3 linked regions of the Alligator mississippiensis genome follow. The protein of the gene in region 1 purifies or fractionates together with the protein of each later gene. This does not show direct contact. Links are inferred from orthologs where the notes say so. Each region holds a gene or a part of one and is shown in the gene's direction. Other genes may lie near its edges. The genes, in order: RNF111, SMAD7 and SKI.

Region 1 (3,744 bases):
TTTGGCGTTTGGGAATGTGACTTTCTTTTATATATATATCATTATATTGTATTTATAACAGTATATATAATATATAAAAGAAAGAGCCAAGTCTCGCATTCCCGAAGCGTAGACTTTAAGAACAAGGCCAACGATCCTGAGCGCTGGCAGCACTGAACTAGAGTAACCCAAAGGCTGATGCAGAGGGAAGCAGGCCCTGTGCCCCGCCCTGTCTCTGCATCACGCCCGATTCCTTATCGCGCTTGGCTTTGTCACCGGTCTTCCGATGTCCGAGCTACGTTTTATGCAGACAAGTTTCCAGCCCTGGGCACGGGAGAGGAGACGGCCAAGGTGAAGCAAGTGCTCCAGGAAAGACCAGGAACCAAAGAGCAGATTCAATTAATTCAGCATTTACTATTTCAAAAGCTTCTGCGCGGCTCACGCTCGGCCCGGCTCTGTGCCGCGACTGTTGCAGCACCCGGGGCCGGGCAATGGCCACCTCCGCCCGGGAGGGGGCGCTGCCGCGCAGGCCGCGCCCTTGCAGGCGCCGCCCGGGGGCGCTGGCGGAAGGAGGAGCGCTGTCCGGCGCGGCTGCGCTTTGCGGGCTGCCGTAAAGCAGCGGCAAGTGTCGCGCTGCCCCTGGGGAGGGAGGGAGGGAGCGGCGGCGGCGGCAGCGGCGGGGGCTGCGCAGCAAACAAAACCGCGAGCGCCCGGGCTGCGCCTGCCGCGGGTTGCTCTCGGCGCGGCCGGGAGGGCCGCGGGGCAGGGCGCGGGGCCTGGCGGGCCGACCCGATACCCGCCGCCCGAGCCGGCGCCGATGTGTGAGGTAGGTGGGGGCGGCTCCGCGCCGGGCCGGGCTCGGCCGCTGTCCGGGGCGCGGTGACGCAGCGGGGCCGGGAGCCCTTTCCTCCCCGGCCTCGGCGAGGCGAGGGGCTGCTCGGCCCCACGGGTCCCCGCCGAGGCAGCGCCTGCCGCCCGCGGGGCCCTTCGTGCGCCTCGGCCCCGCCGCAGTGTCCTTCAGCCGGGCCGCGGGGGGGGCCCTGGGGCTGCACCTGTTGAAATCGGGGTCTGGTCCTGCCTTAACGCGAGAGCAGGCGTCTCCCCGGGCCCTGCCCGACAGGGTCCTTGACAGCTGTGGAAGGAGGGGAGGAAATTGTGGTGCCAGAGAGGGGGAGTCGCCAGCCGGCTCCGCTGCTGCGCCGCTCCCTGTGCTTTCCTGTTTGCTGCTACGAGGGTCTTTATGGGAAAGAAGCCTTCAGCCACCACTAAAAGGTGAGCTGCTTCCTTAACCTTCACCTTAAGCTGGAGCGTCTTTGGTTTAAAGAGCTGCCCCACTTCTTGTGACCAAGTCCTGGATGAACCAAAGCAAAAGTCACTCATCCCAAGCTGGCACTTGGTGGTCAGTGACTGGCTGTAACGGAAAGTGATAAAGATTTCCACTGAGCTGTTGTCCAAACTGGGGGGGGCTCGTATTAAATCCTTCTTTTAAAGAAAAAAATCACATGGGTTACCTCCTTGCAACAAATAGAGGTTATGTATTTCATTTCAATATGAGGGCCTATGGAAGTGTTAACCGCAGTGCTTCACAACCAAGTCACAGTTGAACTCTCCTGGAAGGTATTTATAGACGCTCGTACTGTGGCATTGGGTGAGGTCTGAGGCAGAATGACTGACTTGCTTGGAGTCATCATGGTTTCAGTTATCCTTTCAATTATCACTGCTAGTGAGTATGGTTTGTGTGTCTATGAAATGACTTGACAGAATTGCATCTCAATGTCATCATGAGGAGTACAGTTTCTGCTTTTTCGTGAAGATGCATGCAGCAGCAAAGAGTTGTCTGCAAACTGAAGAATATCAGCACAACACCAGTATATATGCTCTTTTTTTTTTGTTTTTATCTGATAGTTGTGTTACTACAGCAGCTACGTTAGAAACATTTTGCTGAAGTGTTAAATTGGGGGTTAACCTAAAGCTTCAATAAGGTAAATTATCTTGTAAGGCTACAACTCCTTGATCCTAAGTTTACTATGTTTGCCTTGGAGTAATGTTCCTAGTTACCAAAAAATGATGCCTGCAGCTTTACTGCTGAACAAATCGCAATTTATGTAACAGGCTGAGTTTAACCCAAGGCTGAAACTAAGCACGCTAAGGATATTTCTGGAGTGATTGTCTCAATGTTCATGTACTCTCTTGTTTTGTCAAGTACATTTTTACGTGCATCCATGCTGCAGAGCATGCTCTGTATGCAGGTGGCCATGTACACATTGTTCTATATTGAAGCATTGGTTGTTACAGTTGCTAAGGCAGTATTGAACATTTTTTATTACTCCCTACAGTAGAGAGATGAATTCATAGTGTATCATAGGAGAACATGTCTGTCCTTCCTGGGGCCCTGTACTGAAATGTTCCTTGCCTGCCAGCACATCTAGCCAAGGTGTTTCTGGCTCTATACGCTTTGCTTCATGTTCCTTCCAGCTGGAGCCACGCCACAGATTCAACACCAGAGGAAGAGCTCTTCCTGCTTGTCACTGTGTATTGTTATTGCATGATACCAAGAGAGGGTGCTTTGAAACAGTGGTGGAAATTCTGTAGCAGTTCTTGTTCTCTAGAATAGAGGTGGCTAACCCTGGCATACATGCCACAAGTGGCATGGCCAGCTGGTGCATATGGCATGTGGTAGATTGCACAGGAGACAGAAAGCAGACCAGGCAGTGGAAGGGGATTAGTTTCAGACTTGGGGAGGGTGTGGGGCTAACTTGTGGCATGTATGACAAAAAGGTTGGCCCTTGCTGTGCTAATGTTGTGGCAGATTTGTGGTTGGATTCCGCCCTAATGCAGTTGTGGTACTTGATGCTTGCTGACATCAGCTGGAAATTCCCCCATGCATAGACAGGTATTCTTGGTACAGGACATACAGCACTCTTGGACTGTATTATTATGCTGATCTTTGATAACTAGTGGTGGCTACTGAATTTGTGCATTAGAAAGCATGCATTTGCAGAGGCACATGTGGAGTATGTCAGGACGTGAAATGAGGCATTGCTGGTCCAGAAGTGGTTTGCTGTAGCAACCTTGGGCAGCTGCAGGCCTGTGGTTAATCAGTCTAATGTTGGCAAGCCAACTTTTCAGGTTGGGCTAGCAGATGTTTGAGGTGTTTGAACACTGTGTTCACCCACAGATAAGTGTACTGGTTATACCCACTGGAATGATAACTAAAATTATCTTCCCAGATTGTGTACTGTGGTCATTAATGGCACTTGTGATGGGCAAATGTGGGGGGGACGGGACATAAATCCCAAATGGAAAGTGTGGATTGTTCTGCATCTCTATAGATAGACTTGAGATAAATGAGATCTGATATTAACTTGTTGAGTAACTAGGGACTTAGAAAAATATGTTTAGGGTTTGTATACCCACTCTTCTAGGGCACCCTGCCATGGCTTTCCCATGAGGACCTAGGAAAAGAAGGTTTAATTGCATACTTTACAGTTGCAGAGTGGTAGTGTAGTGTACACTTTAAAGGCTGTCAAGGCAGGAAGGTGTTGCCTACCAAACCATTGACAAAATGCAATCTGCATTATTTTGACATTCTGTGCAAAGCCAATGGTGTAAAGAGTCTTGAGTAACTGTTTTAACCAGAGGGTGCATTTGTCTTCACTGGGGCTGAGTTAAAGCAAGCAAGGGACTTCAGGGATGCCTTATTTACATATATGCATTGCAGGGGGTTGTGAATATGATGATGCTGTGTTGTGTTAAGTTGTAATG
Region 2 (3,744 bases), on another chromosome or scaffold:
CTTAACACTCCTAGGCCTGGCTGCTCCTCCAGGCTCGGAGGAAGGACCCAGGCGAGCCAGGAGCCTGCAAGCTCTGGGGCTCCCACTTCAGGGCGTTTCCTGGCCCCCACCTGCCCTGGGTGCAGCACCCCCCTGCAGCCCAGCTCGCCCGTGGGCTCCGCCAAGCCCCACTGCGGAGCTCTCGTGCTCCCTCCCCGGGGCTCAGCTTTGCCTCGGGGCGACCCGGCTGCACCATGTCGCCTCCCTTTCTTCTGCGGGGCTGGGGGAAGAGCCTGCTCGCTCGGATCCCTGCCCTGCTCCTCTCTCTCTCCCTCTCTCTCTCTCTCGACTTCAGGAATAAAAAAAAAATAGATTTTAGCAACCCGATCTCTTGTTTGCGCAACACAATCACTTTTTTTTTTTTTTTTTTTTAAAGCGACAGGGTGTCTAGACGCCCACGTGATTGGGGCCGGGGCTGGGCAGCGCCACTGCGCACTGAGAGCGCCGAGGCGAAGCCGGGGGAGGCGGCGGCGGCGGCTGCACGGAGGAGCGGCGGGGCGGCCGCTGGGCACCGGGGCATGGGCACGGGGAGCTGAGCCGAGCCGAGCCGAGCCGAGCTGAGCTGTTGCTGGCGGGGGACAGGCTCTGCTCCCCGGGAAGCAAGGAGGCAGCGGAGGGGAGAGAGAGGGAGAAGCCAGGAAGGAAAGCCGAGCCGAGCCGAGCCGAGCCGGAGGAGCTGCTCCTTCCCCCCCGCCTCTTCCCTGCGTATCGGGAGCCGATGCGGGGAGGAGGCAGCCGCAGGCAGCGCGCAGGGCTGAGCCGGAGCCGGAGCCGGAGCCGAGCCCTCGGGGCTGGGGACCGTCGGTAGCGAGAGGATCCTCCCGGGCACCTCGCAGCAGCCGCCGCCTCCTCCGCGCCCCGACCCCGTCCCCGTCCCCGTCCCCGCCCGGGCGCGGCGGGAGGAGTTTGGGGACAAGTCGACTGGAAATAAAACTGCCCGCGCGGCTCCCGCTGCCGGCGCGGCCACGAGACGAGGGGGATCTCACCCTCGGATGTGATTGATTTTTTTGGGGGGGGCGTGTGTGATGATTTTGTACCTTTTTGACACATTTCAGATTTTGATGATGACTTGAACTGAGCTTGAAACAAGCAACCCCCCCCCTCACCCCCCACGTTGTACAGCTTTCCTTTCTCCCTGCCCCCCAAAACTTCCCCTGGGCTGGAATCGGTGGATGTTTGACTCCGGAGGATACCGCGAGTTTCCTTTTTCTGTTTTTCATTTTTTTTCCCTTCGTCTTGTTTTCTGCGAGGAAGATCTGCTCTGCTCGGGGGGCGGCGGGGGCGCTGCGTGTTTTGGGGGGCGGCTGCTGATTTGATCGGGGGCCGGTGTCGGCGGGCGGGCGCGGCTCGATGCCGGGCGCGGAGCCCCGCGGGAGCCCCGCGCCCCGTCCCGCCGGCTAGCGCCGCACCGCGCCGCGCCGCCGAGCGAGACTGGCGCATGTGGCACCGCGCTGGGGCTCGCGGGCTGCCGGCGCTCGCTGCCTGGACGCGGAGCCCGGATCCTTCATGACTTGCGGACGACATGCTCGTTTTGTAGCCGGGCACCCCGCTCCTCGTCCCGCATGTTCAGGACCAAACGCTCGGTGCTCGTCCGGCGACTCTGGAGGAGCCGCGCTCCCGGCGGGGAGGACGAGGCGGGCGACGCCGCCGCGGACAGCCGGGCGCATGGGGCCGGCGGCGGCCGGGGCTGCTGCATGGGCAAGGCGGGCAAGCTCGGCAAGGCGGCGCTGGGCTCCGAGGCGGAGCTGAAGGCGCTGACCCACGCCGTGCTCAAGAGGCTGAAGGAGAAACAGCTGGAGGGGCTTTTGCAAGCCGTGGAGTCCCGAGGGGGCACCCGGACCTCCTGCCTCCTGCTGCCCGGCAAGGTGGACTCCAGACTGGGTCAGCATTGGTACTCCCTCCCTTTGCTGCTATGTAAAATATTCAGGTGGCCCGATCTCAGGCATTGCTCGGAAGTCAAGAGGTTATGTTGCTGTGAATCTTATGGAAAAACTCATCCAGAGCTGGTCTGCTGCAATCCCCATCACCTTAGCAGGCTCTGCGAACTAGGTACGGACAAGGGGGGGACACGCGTGTGCGCGCACACGAGACACACGTACGCGCACGCACACACATGTGGTTTGTATGGATTGCATGCACACACGTGTGTGGTCTATGGACTACACACACAGGCTGTACACATGTCCTATATGGGCTGCACACGCATGTGGTCTAGACTACACACACGTGTCTATGGACTGCACACACACACACACGGTCCATATGGACTGGTTGGACACTTGTGAGTGTGCATGGGGGTGGCAGGGCTGGGGGGTGCGTGGTTGCATGTGCGGAAAATTTGGGGGTGGAAAGAGGTGCTGAGCCTGGGGGTTTGGTAGCGGCGCTGAGCGGGCAGAGCAGGATGGTGCCCGCCCCGGGGCTGCGGGAGGGGAAGGATTCGGGAGACTTGAACTTGGGGGCTTGGCCCGGCCTGGCCTGAGCGGCAGAGCAGCCCGCCTAAGCACCGGGGGACAGGCCCCCTTGCTCCTCCGTGCATACAGACATGCCCAGCCGGGCTGGGATGTGCAGGCGCTGGGGGCCAGTGGGTCCCAGCCCCCGCCAGCAAGAAAACGTTTGAGAGCTGCAGCCATGCTGCCGCCTCCTCCAGGCACAGCTTTGTGTCTCCAAATAAGCCCCAGCAAAAAAAGTGTCGGTGCATTTGCCTGGCCAGTGGCATGAAGGCAGGGCTCCCCCGGCAGTGCTCGTGGTGGTGCTGTTCCGGGCGGCGTGGCGCCCCCGGCCCGACCCGGCCGGCCTCCGCCTCTCCCCTCCTCCTTCGGAAAACATGGCAATTACTTGCAAACTTTGCTTAGCTGCTGTAGCACAGAAATCGGCCCCTTCTGACTAGTGGGGAATTGCTGAAGGGCAGCCCTTGATTATTATTTTCCTCCTTCCACTTCCCCCCCTCTTCCCCCCAGCCTTTCTTTTTTTTTTTTTTTTTTTTCCCTTTTCTGTGAAATGTTAAATGTGTATGCAGCTAGCAAGGATTATCTGGCAGTCGGGATCAGTTGGTGATTTCCAGAGCTGGAGTGTTTTAGCTGAGCCAAGGAGGCCCTGATCAGACAGCCAGAGTAGCAGATAGCAGGGAGACTGGCGCCAGGCGGCCCCTTTTGTTTATCTGACAGCTAAATATCAAGGCAATCGCCGCTTAGCTGCCCTGCCTCCAACCCCCAGAGCTAAGACAAACAGTTTTGCTAAAAGAATGCCACTGTTATCATAAGTTCCTATCTTTTTTTTCTCATGGCTCTGCCTTTATTTTCTCTGTACTTTTCTAATTCCAGAGTCTCCCCCTCCGCCCTACTCCAGATATCCAATGGATTTTCTCAAACCAACTGGTAAGTAGACCTTTAAACAGAGGCTACTGTCTTCAGATAAAAAGGGAAAACAACTCTTTCTCCGGGGAAATGTTTCTTGCCTTTGTTACACGTCTGATGCATTTCACTTTTTGACCATTTCTCTGGGGTGTTCTGTGCTTTTTAACCCCCCTGCCCCATAAGAAGAAATACATGTTTTGACTCTGAAAAAACCTCCTGCGGCTGTCAGATTTAGCAGGGGATCTGGTAGGGATGGTGATTGCAACTGCTGGCTTTTCCCAACAAGGGACTTGGAACATTTTGGGATGGATCTGAAGAGAAAGTAATGTCAATTTGCCCACTTTGCCTAGTG
Region 3 (3,744 bases), on another chromosome or scaffold:
CGGGGGGGGGGGGTGTCTGTAGTTATAGCACACAACTCGCACACCACCTCTGTGTGTGTGTTTGCACTGCGTATATCCGGGGGGTGTGCGCGCGCGCGTGTGGTATAGCACCCAGCTCGCACACCACGTGTGTGTGTGTGTTTGCACTGTGTGTATTGGGGGGTGTGGTATTGCACCCAAATCACATGTGTGTGTGTTTGCGCTATGTGTATTGGGTGTTGGTGTGTGGTATAGCACCTAAATCACACGTGTGTGTTTGCGCTATGTGTATTTTGTGTGTGTGTGTGTGAGGTATAGCACCTAAATCACACGTGTGTGTGTGTGTGTGGGGTGTAGCACCCAAATCACACGTGTGTGTTTGCGCTGTGTGTATTTTGTGTGTGTGTGTGTGAGGTATAGCACCTAAATCACACGTGTGTGTGTGTGGTGTAGCACCCAAATCACACGTGTGTGTTTGCGCTGTGTGTATTTTGTGTGTGTGTGTGTGAGGTATAGCACCCAAATCACACGTGTGTGTGTGTTTGCGCTATGTGTATTGGCGGGGGGGTGGTATAGCTCCTAGCTCGCACAACGTGTGTGCTTGTGTGTGTGTGTGTGTGTGTGTGGGGGGTATAGCCCCCAGCTCGCACAACGCGCTCGTGTGTTTGCGCTATGTGTGTGTTGTGTGTGTGGTATAGCACCCAAATCACACGTGTGTGTGTGTTTGCGCTATGTGTATTGGCGGGGGGGGGGTGGTATAGCTCCCAGCTCGCACAACGTGTGTGCTTGTGTGTGTGTGTGTGTGTGTGTGTGGTATAGCCCCCAGCTCGCACAACGCGCGTGTGTGTTTGCGCTATGTGTGTGTTGTGTGTGTGGTATAGCACCCAAATCACACGTGTGTGTGTGTTTGCGCTATGTGTATTGGCGGGGGGGGGTGGTATAGCTCCCAGCTCGCACAACGTGTGTGCTTGTGTGTGTGTGTGTGTGTGTGGTATAGCCCCCAGCTCGCACAACGCGCGCGTGTGTTTGCGCTATGTGTGTGTTGTGTGTGTGGTATAGCACCCAAATCACACGTGTGTGTTTGCCCTATGTGTATTGTGTGTGTGTGGTATAGCACCCAAATCACACGTGTGTGTGTGTTTGCGCTATGTGTATTGGCGGGGGGGGGGTGGTATAGCCCCCAGCTCGCACAACGTGTGTGCTTGTGCTATGTGTATTGTGTGTGTGTGTGGTATAGCCCCCAGCTCGCACAACGCGCGTGTGTGCGCGGTGTGCGGTGCCCCGTGCCGTGCCCGGGCGGTGCGGAGCCGGCGGGCCCGTGTTTGTGCTCCGAGGAGGGGTGCGGGTGCGGGTGCGGGTGCGGCGGGCAGGCCCGGGGAAGCCCCCTGTCCCTGGTGGCGGGGCGGGGGCGGCGGTCGCGGCCGGGAGCCGGTCCCATTCTTGGCCGCGCTGCAATGAGCGAGGCAGACACCGACACGCAGCGGGCGCGGGCGCGGGCGCGGGCGGGGGCGGGGAGGAGGCGGCGGCGGAGGCGGCTGAGCCCGGCGCATTAGCTCAGCGCCGAGGCGCTCCAGTCCGTGGCGGGGAGCGGAGCGGGAGGACGTGCTCTGCTGCTGCAGCTCCCCGCGCGCACCACAGACGCGAGAGACCCGGAGCGCCTCCACGCCCAGCCCGGGGAGCCCGCCCGCGGCCCCGCTGCGTTTCCGAAGGGCAAGAAATTCGGCCTTTTCATTTTATCCGCACGCTTTCCCTCCTCCCTCCCTCCCCCCCTCCCCGTCTACGGACCGAGCTCGCTTCCTCCCGCTGCCCCCCCTCGCTGGCGGCGGACATGGACAGGAGGGAGCGCGCTGCAGAGCAGCCGCCGCCGGGGCGGATCTGAGGCGGGCGCGGGGCGGCGAGGCTGCATGAAGACCTCTGCCGGCCGCACTCTCCGCCGCGCCGGGGCAGCCCGGGAGCCGTGGGGGCTGTGAGCGGGCACGAGCCGAGAAAAGAGCAGCAGCACACGAGGACTTCCCCCTCGCGAGTGGATTGCCGGAGCAGGGCGGGGAAGGAGAGAAAGAAGCGGGGGTTGGGTTGTTTTGGGTTTTTTTCCCCTTTAATCCGTTCAGTGGATTGCTACCAGGGTGGAAGATCAGCGGGGCTTTTTTGTTGTTGTGTTGTTTTGTTTTGTTTTGGGAATAGAAACTAAAAATGGAGACTGTAAGTAGAAGCAGCTTCCAGCCTCATCCAGGACTGCAGAAAACCTTGGAACAGTTTCATCTGAGCTCTATGAGCTCCCTGGGTGGCCCTGCTGCTTTCTCCGCACGATGGGCCCAGGAGATGTACAAGAAGGACAATGGCAAGGACCCGGCGGAGCCCGTCCTGCATCTGCCCCCCATCCAGCCTCCCCCGGTGATGCCAGGCCCCTTCTTCATGCCCTCGGACAGGTCCACGGAGAGGTGCGAGACCATCCTGGAAGGGGAGACCATCTCCTGCTTCGTGGTGGGGGGAGAGAAGCGGCTTTGCTTGCCCCAGATCCTGAACTCGGTGCTCAGGGACTTTTCCCTGCAGCAGATCAACTCGGTGTGTGACGAGCTGCACATTTACTGCTCCAGGTGCACGGCTGACCAGCTGGAGATCCTCAAAGTCATGGGCATCCTGCCCTTCTCTGCCCCCTCCTGCGGGCTCATCACCAAAACCGACGCGGAGCGGCTGTGCAATGCCCTGCTCTACGGGGGCACCTACCCGCCGCACTGCAAGAAGGAGTTCTCCAGCACCATCGAGCTGGAGTACACGGACAAGAGCTTCAAGGTGTACCACGAGTGCTTCGGGAAGTGCAAGGGACTCCTGGTGCCGGAGCTTTACAGCAACCCCAGCGCAGCCTGCATCCAGTGCTTGGACTGCAGGCTCATGTACCCACCGCACAAATTTGTGGTCCACTCTCACAAGTCCCTGGAGAACAGGACTTGCCACTGGGGCTTTGACTCGGCCAACTGGAGGTCCTATATCCTCCTCAGCCAGGATTACACTGGGAAAGAGGAGAAAGTTAGACTGGGCCAGCTCTTGGATGAAATGAAAGAGAAATTTGACTACAACAACAAATACAAGAGAAAAGCACCCAGGGTAAGTAAGTGTGTCTGTGGGGGGGGGTTGTTTGGGGGTTTTTCTCCCCAGTTTTTTATTTGAAGACCGAGATGAGGGGGGCCAGGAGGAGCCAGACTGCGATTTCAGACTTGCACTGAGATAGAAAGGTCCAGGGCACCAGAGCTGCTGTTAAAGCCATGCAGCAGTCTGTCATGCTGGAAAATCACGCTGTGTGTTCAGGTGGGGGAGAAGCATTTAAAGAGAGCACTTTTTTTTTTTTTTTAGCTGCAAGCTGAAATCGGTTTTCTTGTTAGAGGCTTTAGGTTTAATTTAAAAACAGATTAATTTTTGTCTATGATTTAGGGGCCGATCCTGTGGTCCTTGCAAACTCTTACCCCCTCCTCCTGACTTTAACAGGGAATGGAAGTGGTGTAAGGACATTGGCATCAGAGGCTGAAAGTGGGGGGAGGTCAGGGCAAGGAAGATGGACATAAAGTAAGAGGAACAGACTTGTGGACAAATACATAAAACCCTCTTAACTGAATAGCTCTGGGAACAGGGGCTAAATTATCTCTGCATATATTTGGACTAAAAGTAGCTGCTTATAAGGTTGCATAGAAAAACCCTGATGATAAATGAGTATACTAGTAGTGCGTGGTATGTGAATGGATAAGACTCTGGCACAGTGGTGCCTGGCTCCTG

The links.
Region 2: the proteins of RNF111 (region 1) and SMAD7 purify together in Homo sapiens (affinity purification with western blotting; 3 studies listed by BioGRID). This does not show direct contact. The link is inferred for Alligator mississippiensis from reciprocal best matches to the Homo sapiens genes RNF111 and SMAD7.
Region 3: the proteins of RNF111 (region 1) and SKI purify together in Homo sapiens (affinity purification with western blotting, with the first as the bait; 3 studies listed by BioGRID). This does not show direct contact. The link is inferred for Alligator mississippiensis from reciprocal best matches to the Homo sapiens genes RNF111 and SKI.

What each region holds. Positions count from the first base shown.
Region 1 is NC_081834.1:38,758,922-38,762,665, reverse strand, and holds the start of RNF111 (E3 ubiquitin-protein ligase Arkadia), read left to right. Parts: upstream 1-1,166; 5' UTR 1,167-1,219; coding exon 1,220-1,251; intron 1,252-3,744. UniProt on the Homo sapiens protein: E3 ubiquitin-protein ligase. Required for mesoderm patterning during embryonic development. Acts as an enhancer of the transcriptional responses of the SMAD2/SMAD3 effectors, which are activated downstream of BMP.
Region 2 is NC_081826.1:289,549,805-289,553,548, forward strand, and holds the start of SMAD7 (mothers against decapentaplegic homolog 7), read left to right. Parts: upstream 1-1,370; 5' UTR 1,371-1,601; coding exon 1,602-2,088; intron 2,089-3,359; coding exon 3,360-3,413; intron 3,414-3,744. UniProt on the Homo sapiens protein: Antagonist of signaling by TGF-beta (transforming growth factor) type 1 receptor superfamily members; has been shown to inhibit TGF-beta (Transforming growth factor) and activin signaling by associating with their receptors thus preventing SMAD2 access.
Region 3 is NC_081836.1:13,631,969-13,635,712, forward strand, and holds the start of SKI (ski oncogene), read left to right. Parts: upstream 1-1,531; 5' UTR 1,532-2,169; coding exon 2,170-3,081; intron 3,082-3,744. UniProt on the Homo sapiens protein: May play a role in terminal differentiation of skeletal muscle cells but not in the determination of cells to the myogenic lineage. Functions as a repressor of TGF-beta signaling.